Arabidopsis thaliana: one gene and its partner. The protein of the gene in region 1 interacts with the protein of each later gene in a pairwise test. Each region holds a gene or a part of one and is shown on either strand. Other genes may lie near its edges.

The links. The genes of interacting proteins can lie anywhere in the genome.
Region 2: the proteins of CSTF77 (region 1) and CSTF64 interact in binary tests that used the Arabidopsis thaliana proteins (3 or more experiments, as listed by UniProt).

Annotation. Positions count from the first base shown.
Region 1 is NC_003070.9:6,110,577-6,118,377, forward strand, and holds the start of CSTF77 (Tetratricopeptide repeat (TPR)-like superfamily protein), read right to left. Parts: upstream 6,042-7,801; 5' UTR 5,696-6,041; coding exon 5,642-5,695; intron 5,538-5,641; coding exon 5,475-5,537; intron 5,390-5,474; coding exon 5,280-5,389; intron 5,141-5,279; coding exon 5,040-5,140; intron 4,739-5,039; coding exon 4,677-4,738; intron 4,600-4,676; coding exon 4,459-4,599; intron 4,344-4,458; coding exon 4,215-4,343; intron 3,985-4,214; coding exon 3,938-3,984; intron 3,567-3,937; coding exon 3,503-3,566; intron 3,401-3,502; coding exon 3,280-3,400; intron 3,083-3,279; coding exon 3,024-3,082; intron 2,938-3,023; coding exon 2,875-2,937; intron 2,733-2,874; coding exon 2,592-2,732; intron 2,186-2,591; coding exon 2,121-2,185; intron 1,942-2,120; coding exon 1,845-1,941; intron 1,453-1,844; coding exon 1,393-1,452; intron 1,003-1,392; coding exon 850-1,002; intron 755-849; coding exon 688-754; intron 601-687; coding exon 523-600; intron 435-522; and 3 more. UniProt on the Arabidopsis thaliana protein: One of the multiple factors required for polyadenylation and 3'-end cleavage of pre-mRNAs. Required for the targeted 3' processing of antisense transcripts that triggers transcriptional silencing of the corresponding sense gene.
Region 2 is NC_003070.9:26,997,411-27,002,981, reverse strand, and holds CSTF64 (cleavage stimulating factor 64), read right to left. Parts: upstream 3,609-5,571; 5' UTR 3,377-3,608; coding exon 3,340-3,376; intron 3,238-3,339; coding exon 3,159-3,237; intron 3,053-3,158; coding exon 2,878-3,052; intron 2,785-2,877; coding exon 2,748-2,784; intron 2,652-2,747; coding exon 2,419-2,651; intron 2,321-2,418; coding exon 2,243-2,320; intron 2,139-2,242; coding exon 2,103-2,138; intron 2,007-2,102; coding exon 1,623-2,006; intron 1,542-1,622; coding exon 1,368-1,541; intron 1,285-1,367; coding exon 1,132-1,284; 3' UTR 1,125-1,131; intron 1,022-1,124; 3' UTR 524-1,021; downstream 1-523. Other genes in the region: AT1G71810 (Protein kinase superfamily protein), read left to right, coding at 39-158, 276-380; CPB (Subunits of heterodimeric actin filament capping protein Capz superfamily), read right to left, coding at 4,197-4,280, 4,576-4,671, 4,799-4,918, 5,082-5,155, 5,244-5,326.

The DNA of each region.
Region 1 (7,801 bases):
AGCTCTTCTGTCTCTTGGTAATCTTTGAGACACACCGCGGGTTGGACCCGAGGGATCGTTTTGACTTGGAGGATTGCCTTTAGCAGCAAAACTCTGCTTTACAGTTTGACCTGTTGGAAAGTCGCTCTGCAAACATATCGACAGAACAACATCCACATTGGGTGTTGGACCTGCGAATTGAGAAGATAATGATAAACTAGTTGGTTAGTGGACACTTATTCAGGTGCTCAGTTCAGATACAACTTGGAGTTGGTTTTTAAGAGATTTACCGTCCACAATAGGCAAGTTAGCTAAAAATGCTACCAATGCAGGTGGAGTAGTCTTTGGTATTTCGTCAAATGTGCTGGCTGATCCATGAGTTGCAGTTGCAGTCACAGTACTTGGGAAGGTGTTCGAAGCAGAAGCTGCCACTGGGTTTGCAGAACTAGCAAACTCTACAGTCAAATCATGAGTGGTTCAGAATAAGTTAACAATTCCATTCATCGTGCAGCCAAATATTGCGGCAAAGTGCAAATCAGATACCTGATTTCTTTGTCGGGTCTTGAACAACCATCTGAGATGTATCTGGATAAACAACTTTTGACGAAGAAGCTACACTACCTGTCAGCCCAGAAGGCGGTTTATTTACTTCAGTCATCACCAAAGTTTAACATAATCCATCACACCAGAAAATTAAAAAGAACAGACCTATAGCCGCAGGAACATGAGGTAGATTTGTTTTCCCTGCTTTCTTATTCAGATTCTTCACAAGCAACTATAGTGAACACATTGATCGGTTAGAATTAGTACTTACTAGATGTATCATTAGTAGCTATTTGAGCTAATTGCGATATGTTGCATGGAAAATACCTCTTGTCTGGCTAAATGATCAAGGTCGTTAGAAGTGCATGGCCAAAGATCCATGTAACTGTACCGAGAAACAACATCTTGAAGTGAACTCTCTGGAGGAGAAGACCCCTCTTCCCCTTTTCCAGAAAGTGCTTCTTTCATTCTCTGCTCAACCTACAACAAGGTTGTCATAGTAAAGAAAATTTATGAGCAAAAAACTAAGAAGATAAGCAGACTACTCCATCAAACAGCCACACTTGATACTGGATGTATCGTGGATCTGATTTCAGTAAATTTCATCGTTGATCAAATGTCTCTTTTATGAGGTGCGAGTCTGACATAGTCTATTCTAGCAATAAGTTGAACGTGTCAGCATTTTTAGATCTTCCATGCAACTAAAAGCCAGTAAGATGGAATAGATATAAATGTTTGGACCCTTCAACAAACTTATCATCATAATGGAGTCAACCGAAAAACAACTACAAAAAATGCTAACAAAACACAGGAAGCTAATAATAGTAGCTTTCCTCGTATACGTTGACAACATTCAATGAGTTAAAATACCTTTAGAATACTAGCAAGATCTCCATATGTTTGCTCAAACTGAATGAATCTTTTCCAGACCTACAAAACATGGAGCAAGAAAAAAGTTAATCCTAGAAATCAATTAGCATAACGGCGTAACCCATTGACACCAGTCGTCTTCTTTATTGTTCTAGCATTTTAAACAGTATTACATGTGAACCACAATAATATTGGACTCTTTCAGTTCAGTTTTAAATGTCTACTATCCCCACCACTGTTCATAAGGCTCAGATGTGCATCAAGATTACACCTCCAATTGCTAAACCATTATCATATTTAAGCATTCAGAAATGCTATAATCAAATTAGGTGCTCGGTTTGGTTATTTTCATTAGCAGGTTAGTAATTTTCCTTGTTGTCTCTTTTCATGCTTAAGAACAAAATCTGCATACTTTAACAGCTTTGAGAAACAATATATCACTATCAGCGTACCTCAGCAGAGTCTTCAACTGGTAACGTGCTTAATGCCCGCTCAAATAGAGCTCTGATATTTCTATCATCATTCAATCTAGTCAAGAAATCTGCATACCTAGATTGCAAAGCAAAACCAGATGGTTAAAATTCTGTCTTAGGAAGGTTTGGGAGAGAAACAAGTTTGAGGATATTTTATCTGAGAAGGTCTTAAAGTCTCAATATTTCTTCAATAAAGAAGAGCTTCCAAGTATCTTAAGAAAATGGAACGCTAAGTAAAGCTACAGTGACACTTACTTAAGGATGTAAACAGGTTCACTCATATAGAGTTTCAACCCCTCTTCAAAGATATTATGTGCAACCTGCATAAAAATACAAACATAAGGATTTTTATTGTGAAACTGAATAGAAATTGAAGTCAGATGGTTTACATTAGTATATATGTCTTGCAAGAACATGTTAATTCTTTGTTAAAGAATCGAACAAATGAAGGCACAAAGAGGAATGTACGAGGCATAAAAGTAACGTACATGTATTTTGCAAACAAATGAAGAGTTTAAGTGCATCAATAGCCAAAACACCCCAATATTCAAATCATTTTGACTTTATTATCACAAAAGTCTCATGGGTCCTGGTTAACTTAAACAACTAAGAGACTAATAAGACGAGTGGGTTCTGAACTTGACTGAACGACCACTACCTCCTTCACAAGACAAAAGCAGTTCTAAATAGCATATAGACCACCACATAGTGGGTAAGAAAATACACCTTTGGTTCCTTGTCAATACAAAAGGCCATGGTAGCAAAAGCAATATACACATGATATGTGCAGCTAGGAGATTTTCTAGCATCTAAAAAGTACTTGCGAGCAGCTTCAACACCCTCAGCCCTCCGGAGAAAACGAAGGTACTGCGAAAGAATATATATATATATATATAAGTATATATCATATGAGAATGTTTTCAGAGAAAAGAAACAATTTCAAAGTGAAAGATATGCTGTTTATGCCAATCTTCGCAAGTCCTAAATTTTGAAACTTGAGCGTACTTACTTGTATATGTGCCAAAGAGTTTGTGCTAGCCCCCAAAATGTTTTCATATAATTTCTTCGCTGACTGCAAAATCATACAACTATAAGCAACGAGTATGCGGACAACTAATAAAGCTAAATTACAAGAAGCCAGCAGCAAGAAATAAAAACCTGAATTGCTCCACGAGATTCCTCCATCTCAGCAAAAGCATATTTCAACATCTCTGAATCTGACATACGAGAGTGGGAAATGTAGACACTTAGTAAAAAATATAAAAGAGTCGCAGAGAGAAAATAGACTTCTTAAGAGTAGATAGAAGATAAGATTAAAACAGTAAGCCAGCAGGTAAGCAAAGAGTAATAGTTGATCCTTCATAAAGCAACTAGTTCATAGACATAAAGAAAAAAGGATAGATTAGATTTTTACCAGGAATGGCTTTAAGAGCTCGCTGAAATACTTTGATTGCAGCATCCGTGGAACCAGATTTTACGTGCCACTCAGCATAGTCATACCATACATCGGGATAGTGATATAAACACATCAGACACTGTAAAACCAGAGTAATAGTCAGTCAATTCAGAAATGAACACATTTCGGAGATTAGTCCTCCAAAATTTCAGCAAGAGCATCTCACTGACTCTTCGCATACCTGTTCATAGGCATATATAATCCGCTTAGTTGACGAGGCCGTGTCAATCCTTTGAGGGTTTCCTCTGAAATTTACAATTGTATTAGATACAGAAGTTTGTTATATTTAGAAGGACTCGTTAAACAATTCTATGCATAAGACCTCATCATCACTTGTTGGAGACATAACTGGATAGTAATTTATTCCAGCTCTCTAGTTAATATCATAAATCTTAATCGGCAAAACACAGAGACGGAACAAGATATAAAAGTCTTACCATTAGGCGTAAACCGAAAAAATCAAAAAAATCTACCAAGGGACCAATTAACTGTTGCGATATATTAAAATCTAGCTATGGTAGAGAAACAATGGCTAAGGAGATACGTAAAACACACATCATCACTGAATGGAATGTATATTAAAATTAAAAACTGTATATGATAATTGGGGATTTACTTTTCAAAGGACAAGAACTTTTTCCAGGCCACCCACTGGGTTTCTTCCTGCAAAAAACCATAAGACGGTGTAAAGTAGCAAAGTAAGCAGATGATACTCAATATGTATTTCCTATCTTAATAACATGATCTCATGACGTGAATTATGCTCATAATGTCTTTTAGGCAGTTTAAGAGTCAATATATCCAATCTTATCGAACTCAAAAAGATAAGAAAATAATTGTACATTCAGCACTCAGCAGTTCCAAAAAGAAGCAATGGATGATAAATTCTTTACCTTGGAAGTTCCTGTTGGTGGGACAGCAAGCATGTTCCAATCAATTTCTTCAATGTACTTCTTGCGCTCCCTATATACAGCCCTGGCACTGTTAAATTTTGGTTGATACTCATTTACAAGTCCTTTTGCCTGCTCACATGATTAGATTAGATTATCCATCAACAAAGCCAAGAGAATGAAGTTCGTACCTGCTTCTTTTCATGAAAATAAGAAGCCACATAATTTTAATTTCTTAGAAGTTTACCAATTGACGGTTAACAGTATTTTCGAAGTTTTCATAATCTTTCCAAAGTTGTTCAACGTGGTGGGTCGGAGTTAATATAGCTCTATGATACACTTTTCGAAGAGCAGTCTTCCGATGCAAATCTTCGTTGAGGTTAAGAGCCTGCATGGGAATCTATTAGTTTCTCTGCAATAACAAATTATTAGTATCAAGGACAAAGTTAGAGTGATATAACGAACCGGAAGAGATTTTAGAAAGGCAATGTACTCAGTCCATATAGGCCCTGATGCGATGTCTGTCCCTGGAGATTCATAAATCGAAATAAACAACCATCTGTAAGGCCCAAGTTGTGTTATGTGTTGGCATGATAAAGGGAAACTAGAGGTCTACATAGACACGAAGCGTAACTATGTGCTTGCTATTGCTGATGAATAGTTATCATTAGCAACTATATTAAGCATAAAATTGATCAAATCATATTGTTTACTAAACATAACTGTATTCATTACTCACAAAACGGAAAAAATTCCCTCTATGTATGAGACATGATTGAAATGAAAAACAAACAAAATAGAGCCAAAACTGCGGAAGAGAAGCAATACCAATATAGTTAAGCATAAACTCAAAAGCCTTTGTGGTCTCCTCTTGACCCTCTGCTCCCTTCTTGTCGTAGACCTTTCTGATGAACCGAATGTAACATTGCCTGAGAGAATAAGATGTTAGAATTATATCCAAGGAGATGGCAAGACTTGCATTGCAGCTGAGCAAGAAACCCAACAATGAGACGAAAAGATGTTAAATTGACTCTTATCAACGACTAATAAAGGGTAACATGGCATTACCAAAGAGGAACTTGAAGGCAGGTCAACAAACAACGACTAAATATCTGTTTGGTAGCATCATCATTGTTTACAGCCATCTGTGCCTCCACATATTGCTTCCAAAATCTCGCCTACAGAGTACAAAGGAGCTCACAATTAACCAAAAACATCAGGAAACTCTTAAAATACGTGGAAGCAAAGTCATGGGAAACTTACAGAAGTGGGATAAAGTGACAAAAGCTGCTCGTAGATCGGCGTCGCCTGTGCAATTGGTGAATGCTGAGGAAAGGACACAATTTTACGAAACCCAACAAGTAAAAATCTAAACTTTATGAAAGAGTACGAGAAGTCAGACAAGTATATAGCTGGGGAAAGAATTGTACCAAAGCTCTCTTGGCCAAAGCCTCTGCTTCCTCGACGATGTACTTATCAGCCATGAATTTCACCTTCGGAAGAACAGTCTTTCAAATATTCCACTCAATGGTAATATAAGTAGACCCTAATCTGAGATTCAATAAGTGTCACAATCTTCCGACAAGTCTAGCTAAAGCTTCTGCTGCTTCAACGCCATAAAAAAAAATCCCTAGAAGGACCTCAGATCAGGAAAACAGACAGACCTTCAGAAGTTTACCATAGAAGTAAACCCTAATCTGAGATTCAACAATTTTAACACTCCTCCGACGAGTCTGCCCGAAACACGGTGGTCGGTGATACCCTATTGTCGAACGGGGAAACTCAAAGCAACCGGTCCGTCTTCAGGAAACGAATATTTTCCGCGGTTCTACTGTCCACGTGGATTCTACTAAACTTATATTAAAAATATTACGGGCCTAGATTTTTGGCCCATTAAAAGTAAGTTGGACCGATTACGGTACATACAATATCTTTTCGATTTCTAATATTTCTCTCTTTTTTTTTTTCCTTCACTAATTTCCTAAGTACATAAAACGTTAAGCCGTTAAGTTAGGTTCAAGAGAGTTGGTGTATTCGAATTTGAAGTCTGATAGATCTTTGGCGGGATTGAAATCTATTTTGGCCTAGGTTCTTTGGAAACATCATGAATTACTCTCCATTTTTCGTACCACATGTACTAAACTAATAATGCTTGTATATATACACTTTAGTAAGCATTATATAGCTTTTATTCGTGAATTCACTTTTAACACTTATAAAGATACATGTAAAATAAGAAATTAATCATAAGAAGATATATTTCAATGAAATAGACATGTAATATAAGATATTAATTAATTCATCAATTTCCAAAATCAAATCAATTTAAGTTTCTAGCTCTAAAGTCGATACAATGATAACTTTAGAGATATGAGCCTAATACTTTATACTCAACGTTAATAGATAATTATGGAAATGAACATCATATCTAAATTAATTTAAATGACGTAGATGAAGAAATTTCATTTGAATGTTATAGTTATTATACATAGTATAGGTAATTTATTATAGTTTGAATCCTAACTAATATATTTGTTATATAGGGCGAATACATAGTATACTGTATTTGCTAATAAGCCCTGGTTTTGTTGTGTCTTGCCATTGATGTTGCCTAGAGTCGTAGTTCTTGCGTTGCAATGCGTTTTGCTATGGTTGCTTTTTCACTAGGCACTAGAGGAGTTAGTAAGACTATTGGTGTTCAGTGTGGCGTTGAGTTGAAAAATCTAGCTCTCAAAAATCTAGCTCTGTACTATGCGACTTCGGGAAGGAACTTGGTAGGGTGAGCTCACATTGTTCACATTCTTTGGTTTGTGGGGTTTCGTTCTGTGAGAGCTCATGGAATCCTTTGACGGGCCGTTGACGGCACAGTCTCGGACCTCCTGTGAAAGGCTTCTAGTGTCTTGTATCTTGGTAATTCGGCTCTTCAATTTGCATTCGCCCTTCGTCTCAAGCATCAGAGCCGGGAAGAACTTCAAAATCGTCATCACTTCGTCTTACTCCATTAGCATTTGTGCTTATGTTTGAGTGGATGGACTGAAAATGTTTCTAAGATCTATGCTTCCATGTTTTTTGCTTTTTTTGTCATGGGACCATTTCTTTAGGAGTATAATCTTTGGATTGTAAACCTAAATTGTTTTCATTTTTAATGAAATATTTACATTCTTAGCAAAAAAAATATACTGTATGTACGTAAAGTATGCATGGGTTTACATTTTAATTTGGTAATACAATTTTTTTTATTCGTGTGCATGAAAATTTTGTAGCACACTTTAAGACCAGATTTTTGTCCCCTATTAAGTATTGCCTCTTAGTCTAATAGATTGATATTTTGGAATTTTTTGTTTCATAATTGATTAATGTTTTGTTTCAACATCATTATTACTTTCATATGTTATCAATATAGAAAGAGAAAAACATAATTAATATTATTAAATTTACAAAAACTTAGCAAAAAAGTAAGATTACTTATTCATGTGCGAAAAAACTAAAACATCGTTCTGTTAGGATTTAGGAACATAGGTAGTAGTTTTTTTTATCGTATATTAAATATCTTTGTTCTAAATTAGTAATTATGCTTATTTCACCCATCC
Region 2 (5,571 bases), about 21 Mb from region 1:
TTTATCTTTAATTAATGTTTTGGGCAACAAAATTGCAGCAAGTAAAAGCGGTGAGTAAATATGGTGAGGCGCTCACGCCTCTAGACGAAGCATCACTGGTCATGTATCAGCTTCCATCAGCACAAGAGATGCTTCCGATTCTCTCCATATTACCTGAGGTAACAGATGTTGCAAAACTGAACTTGATTTTACGAGTTCATTACAGTATTTAAGATTTTGTGATACTAGAATAATTGTCCTAACGTCTTTTTTGGGGTTTGAATGAAACGTGGCAGCTTCCACAGGAATCACAACAGAGGTTGCTTCAGTTGCCAGGTGACTTGGTTGGAAGATTGGTGACTCGGGCTTTTGCTAGAACCATTCGCAGGATTTTTCTTTGATGTCCGATTACAAATAAAAACTTGCAGATTTTAGACAAGACTACTGTGATTTGAGTTATTTATAATTTTTACATAAACTTGAAGAGAATCAGAGGAATGGCTGTTTTGATCCCACAACAGCATATTTATAAAAGAAAAGCATCAACATCTTCTTCATCAAATAAAACAATCTCAGTTTTTGTTTTGTCAAAGCTCGTTTTAGTCAACCTTATTTTTTCCCCATATTTATAACTTGTAAGCGTAGCCGAAATACATGTGTAGTGAAAATAAAATGTTTATTAAAATACTAAAATCTTCACCAGTGACCAAACCAGGGGCCACAGGATTAAAACCAACGAACGAGTACGAGAGTTGTGTGTTAATGCAGGAAACAAAGACAGTAAACAAAATAAAAATCAAAAGAGAGAGGCGAACACAGTTGGTCTGAGACTTTGAACTTATAACTTTTCCTTTCTTTTATATTTTGATGGCTGAATGTTTCTTCTATAAGACAAACTCAGCACAAATAAATGCTACACTAATCGTACAATCACTCACCTCAATTCAGGTGAGAGAGCCTTCTTCTTTCTATGGTGATTTGTATGCGGAAAAATATCCTTTTTGATCTATTCAATGAAATCGACCAACCGTGTTGCTTTCCCCTGTATATATCAGAGAGGTGAAACCGAGACGAGTATTAGATTCAAATATCACAGAGAAGAATGACAGCAACACAGGTCGATGATATATATATAACAAACCTACCTCAATGCTATGAAGGCTGCATCATGTGGTCTTGCTTGAGGGCTTGTTGCAGCTTTAAGACCTCTTGTTGTTGCTCTGGAGTCAGTAATCTCAACTGTTCTGGCGTAAGGTTCATTACTTGCTGGAGCAATGTTGACTGAACATCGGGAGAGATATGTGTCTGGAAGAAGAGTAAGGATTTTACCGATTAATAGATTTATTCAGGGCATTCTAAGCGACATTAGATGATGTGATTGATAATACCTGGGGAGCTTGTGCTTGATTCGGAAGCATTGAATTAGACACATGACCTCCAGGGAGTGAAGTAGTTCTCCTATCCTCCACTTTCATCATCTTTGATGGTCTGTTCATTGATTGATGAGGAGGACCCTCGTTTATTCTTTTGCCAAAATTTAATGATACCGTTTGCCCACCTTGCTGTAATGTAAGTAAATTACACATGAGAAGTTATGTTCAGAGGAATCCAAAAAAACAAATAAAAATATTGTGGAAACTCACCTGCATCACAGAATTTGGTAATGCTTGGTGGGGTACTTGAGATGGCTGGATAGCATTATTCGGAACTGAATTCTGACTACTATAACCTATGTTGGTGGAAGCTGGAACCACTTGCTGGCGTTGGAATGGAGCGTTTTCGACTTTAACTTGGGATCTAGGAGGAGGATTCACAGAAGAAGGACCTGGTTGTGCTACTAGTTGTGGAATCTGACTAAAAGGTTGTTTAGAAGATTGCTGGACAGGATACTGACTATGGGGAGCACGACTTAGCTGCTGTGACCTTTGTGCCAGTGGCGGTAAAAGGTTTTGACCAGATAATTGCGCATCTTGAATTGAAGACCCTGTCATATGACTTGGGGCCTGAACAATATTTGGCGACTGTAACTGCACAATTCAAGAATGGCAATAGTCCTCTTAAGACATGACAGATAGATAAAGAAGGAAGTAGCACAAAACTGTTCGATAAGATGGAAAACTTACCACTTGCGGACTCACAATCCCAAGCATTACCTGCGCCTACAAGGGTAGACAAAGTAAAGGTTCAAATATGGTGTAAGTATCATAAGAAATATTTGTCAATAATGAAAAATGATTTGCACAATAAGAGGATGAGTGAGTACCAGGAAAACAGCTTTTAGCAACTGAGGTCTTGAAACCAACAACTGTCTAGCATGTTCCTTATTTTGTGTAGCCATTAACTGACATTGAGAGAACACAATCACATCACACAACTCGCTTCCAATAGTATAACAATGCACCCAAAAAAAGAAAGAAAAAACGATATCAAGATTCACACCTTAATGGACGATATAATTTCAGTAAGCTGACTTCTTGACATCTTGGCTAGATGAAGAGCCAGGGGATCACTAGCTGGAACCTGCAGATTACTTTGCGTAAACTGCGAACCGACCTGAGGACCACCTAGCGCACCCGCTATAACAGATGCAGCTGTTGTAGCAAGGTGGAGACCAACTGGCTGATGCATATTTGAATCTACTGGCCCTCCAATCTGCTTTTGAGACTCTGTCACTAAACAGCCAAAAGAAAGAAGAACAACGATAAGTTTGTGTTCATCCAAACACAATTGCAGTCAGTAAAGTATCAGAGACTGAAAACAAAACATACCAGTAGTAGTAGATGGCAAACCAGGTCCTCCTTGACTCTGAAAACCCAAATTTACCATCTTTAGTTATAACTTCTTGACAACAGTTAAAAACCATCCAACATTGAAAGAAGAAAGAGAGAGAGGAGTAACCTGATCACGGGTTTTGTCAGTGCCTTTGTCATTCTCAGCAAAATCAACTCTTAATTGACGACCATTGATTTCATAACTCTGAAGATTACGACGAGCACTTAATGCTGTTTCTTCGTCTTTATACTCACAAAATCCGTAGCCTTTTGGTTTACCAGTTTCTCTATCCGTAACTAATCTGAATCCAATAAAGCAAAGTTTTTTAGGCTTCTGTGTTTCGTTTGTTTGAAGAAAAGTGTTTCCTTTATCAAAACCCTAAATCATAATTGAACGATAAAACTGACCTAAACGAGACAACAGGTCCAACTTCTCCACAAATTTCTCTAAGTTGTTCCTCGGTCGCGTCGTAAGGAATGTTCCCAACTAAAATAGACGAAGAAAGTCGAAAACTTTAAGCCAATTGAATCCAAAATCGAAGAGAATTCACAGAGTGATAATGGAAGAAGAAGAAGAAGAGTGAGTTACCAAAAACGCAGCGTCGTTGGGATGATGATGAAGCCATTGGGGATTATTAAGAGAAGATAACGAAGAAGAAGGTGAAGCGCTGCTTCATCTTCTTCCTGCTAAGTAACGGGTCGAGATTCAAATCGAATTCGAAACAGTTGAGTTTCGTTAAATTCTTCTGAAGAGAGAGATCTTTCGTATTCGTCGTCGATAGGAGACTTTTTGTCTTTATTTTTCAGTTTTTGGTTTTAAAGAGTTAAGAAGAGAAGACGAATGAAATTATTTAGCAAAACGATTAGTACCGTCGTCGTCGATATTTATTTATATCTCTCTCTACAACAAGAATAAAAAAAAGAAAGCCGAAAAAGGAAACTGATATTTTGGTTAAAAGGAAATTTATTTTAATATCTTTTTTTATATGTTGGACAAAAATATTTGTATAGTTATTGATTAGGTTGTTATTAGTTACTGACCGTCTAGATGGCACCTAGGCGCTAAACGGACTCATATGGCGATTACATCAAGGATTCTTACTTTCTTTGTCCATTCGGTATGCATGTCGAAGGCAGTGCGATATCACTAAATGAGGTTTGATGCTTTAGGTCCTAAGTTCACAACATGTCGCAGCCACCACTGATTCTGCTATTCTATACTTTTGGAGAAAACCAAGCATTTCCATAATATTTATACGACTTTTAAAACTGCATCATTCGTTATATTTATGGGAAAAGATGGTCACATGATGGTGAAGTCAGAGAAAAACATGGGAGTAAGAGACATCCACACAAAACACTCGGAGAAGCGTTTAAGATCAGACCAACCAAAACAAACAAATATCGAGACCTTCTTACATAAAGCGTGATCGGAGGAGCATCAGGTCAGGTGTCAGGCAATCTCATTTGTACAATCTCAGCTGGTGGACGCAATGTGCAAACCATTTCTCTTGTCTTCCCAAAGTAAACCTGCGCTTTTCACCAAACAATTCTCAAACCCTTGAAGCTACGCACATTACGTTATTCTTTTCTCTTGGTCTAGATTAATTCATGAGATGTTAGAAAGTGATTTGATCTAAAACTTATCCTACAATTCTCGTTTACTTATTTTGGGGTCTGCCAAGCACCACAGAACAACTGTAGCATGAGCTTTAACTAACTAAGCAATCCGAATGCCGGTAATTAAGAAACCATTTTCAGCATATATGGCGGTTACACAAGTAGACGGAGTTTGTGGAATTGGTGCAGGGATTGGAGGTAGAACCTGATCAAGTGAGTTCCTCAGTTTGCCTTCCAATTCTTCAATCATTCTCCCCATATTGCACAGGTGTCCGTCAGCTACTGCTAGCTCCATTTTCATCTAATTTCAACAGTAGCAGAATAATGTTATTCTTTTACAGATATTTGGTTTTCCTCCATTGAATCACAATTCATACCAGGAACTATTTATCTATGAAGGCATGGGCTAAATAGAAGCTAATACTTACTTGTCTTCTAATTGATCCAGATAAGCCGAATTTGCCCGAAGACTCATCATCAGTTGTCAGAGAAAGCATGATGGTACTTGTTAAGCAATATTGTGCCATTTCCTCCTCCTCTGAACCAACCTAGTTGAGAACCTCAGGCATTAGAAGCAAAATATGAAGTCTCATTAAAGAGCTGCTTAGGAAACTATGATAAAGTTGCAATTGAGGGTGGTATGTGTTACAAAATGGGCAACATTTTAAAACACATAAGGCACGCTTGGTAATGGTATGTTAAGAGAGTCACCTGTATAACATGTATGGCATCCCACGCTCCTTCCTCCAGGCATCCCCTCCGACCATGACCTGACTTTGACCCATCTTCGAAAAATAAAAACCAGAACAGCTCAGGTAAAGAGTTTTTATTGCCTAACATTCAGTGTTATTGAACTCTACAGAAAGAATGTACCTTTCTTGATAAGGAAACATGCCACAAAGCCTTCATTATCATCCTCCCACATGTAGACTGAAGATATACCACCTTCATAATACCTGGAAAAGAAAACTGATCAACACAGGTGTTCTTTTGGTAACTTTGCAAGCTTTTTTCAGTCTCCAGTCTAATGGATACATTAGAAGAATGAAACACATATCATATATTGTTAAACCATGAGATAAATCTCACGACTAGGCAAGCCTTTTTTTCAGATCAGATGCTAACTATGTCTCCGTCTTAGATAACTCAAATTACTTTCACTACATGGTTTTCATGTTGAACGAGGTAGGTAAAGAACCTC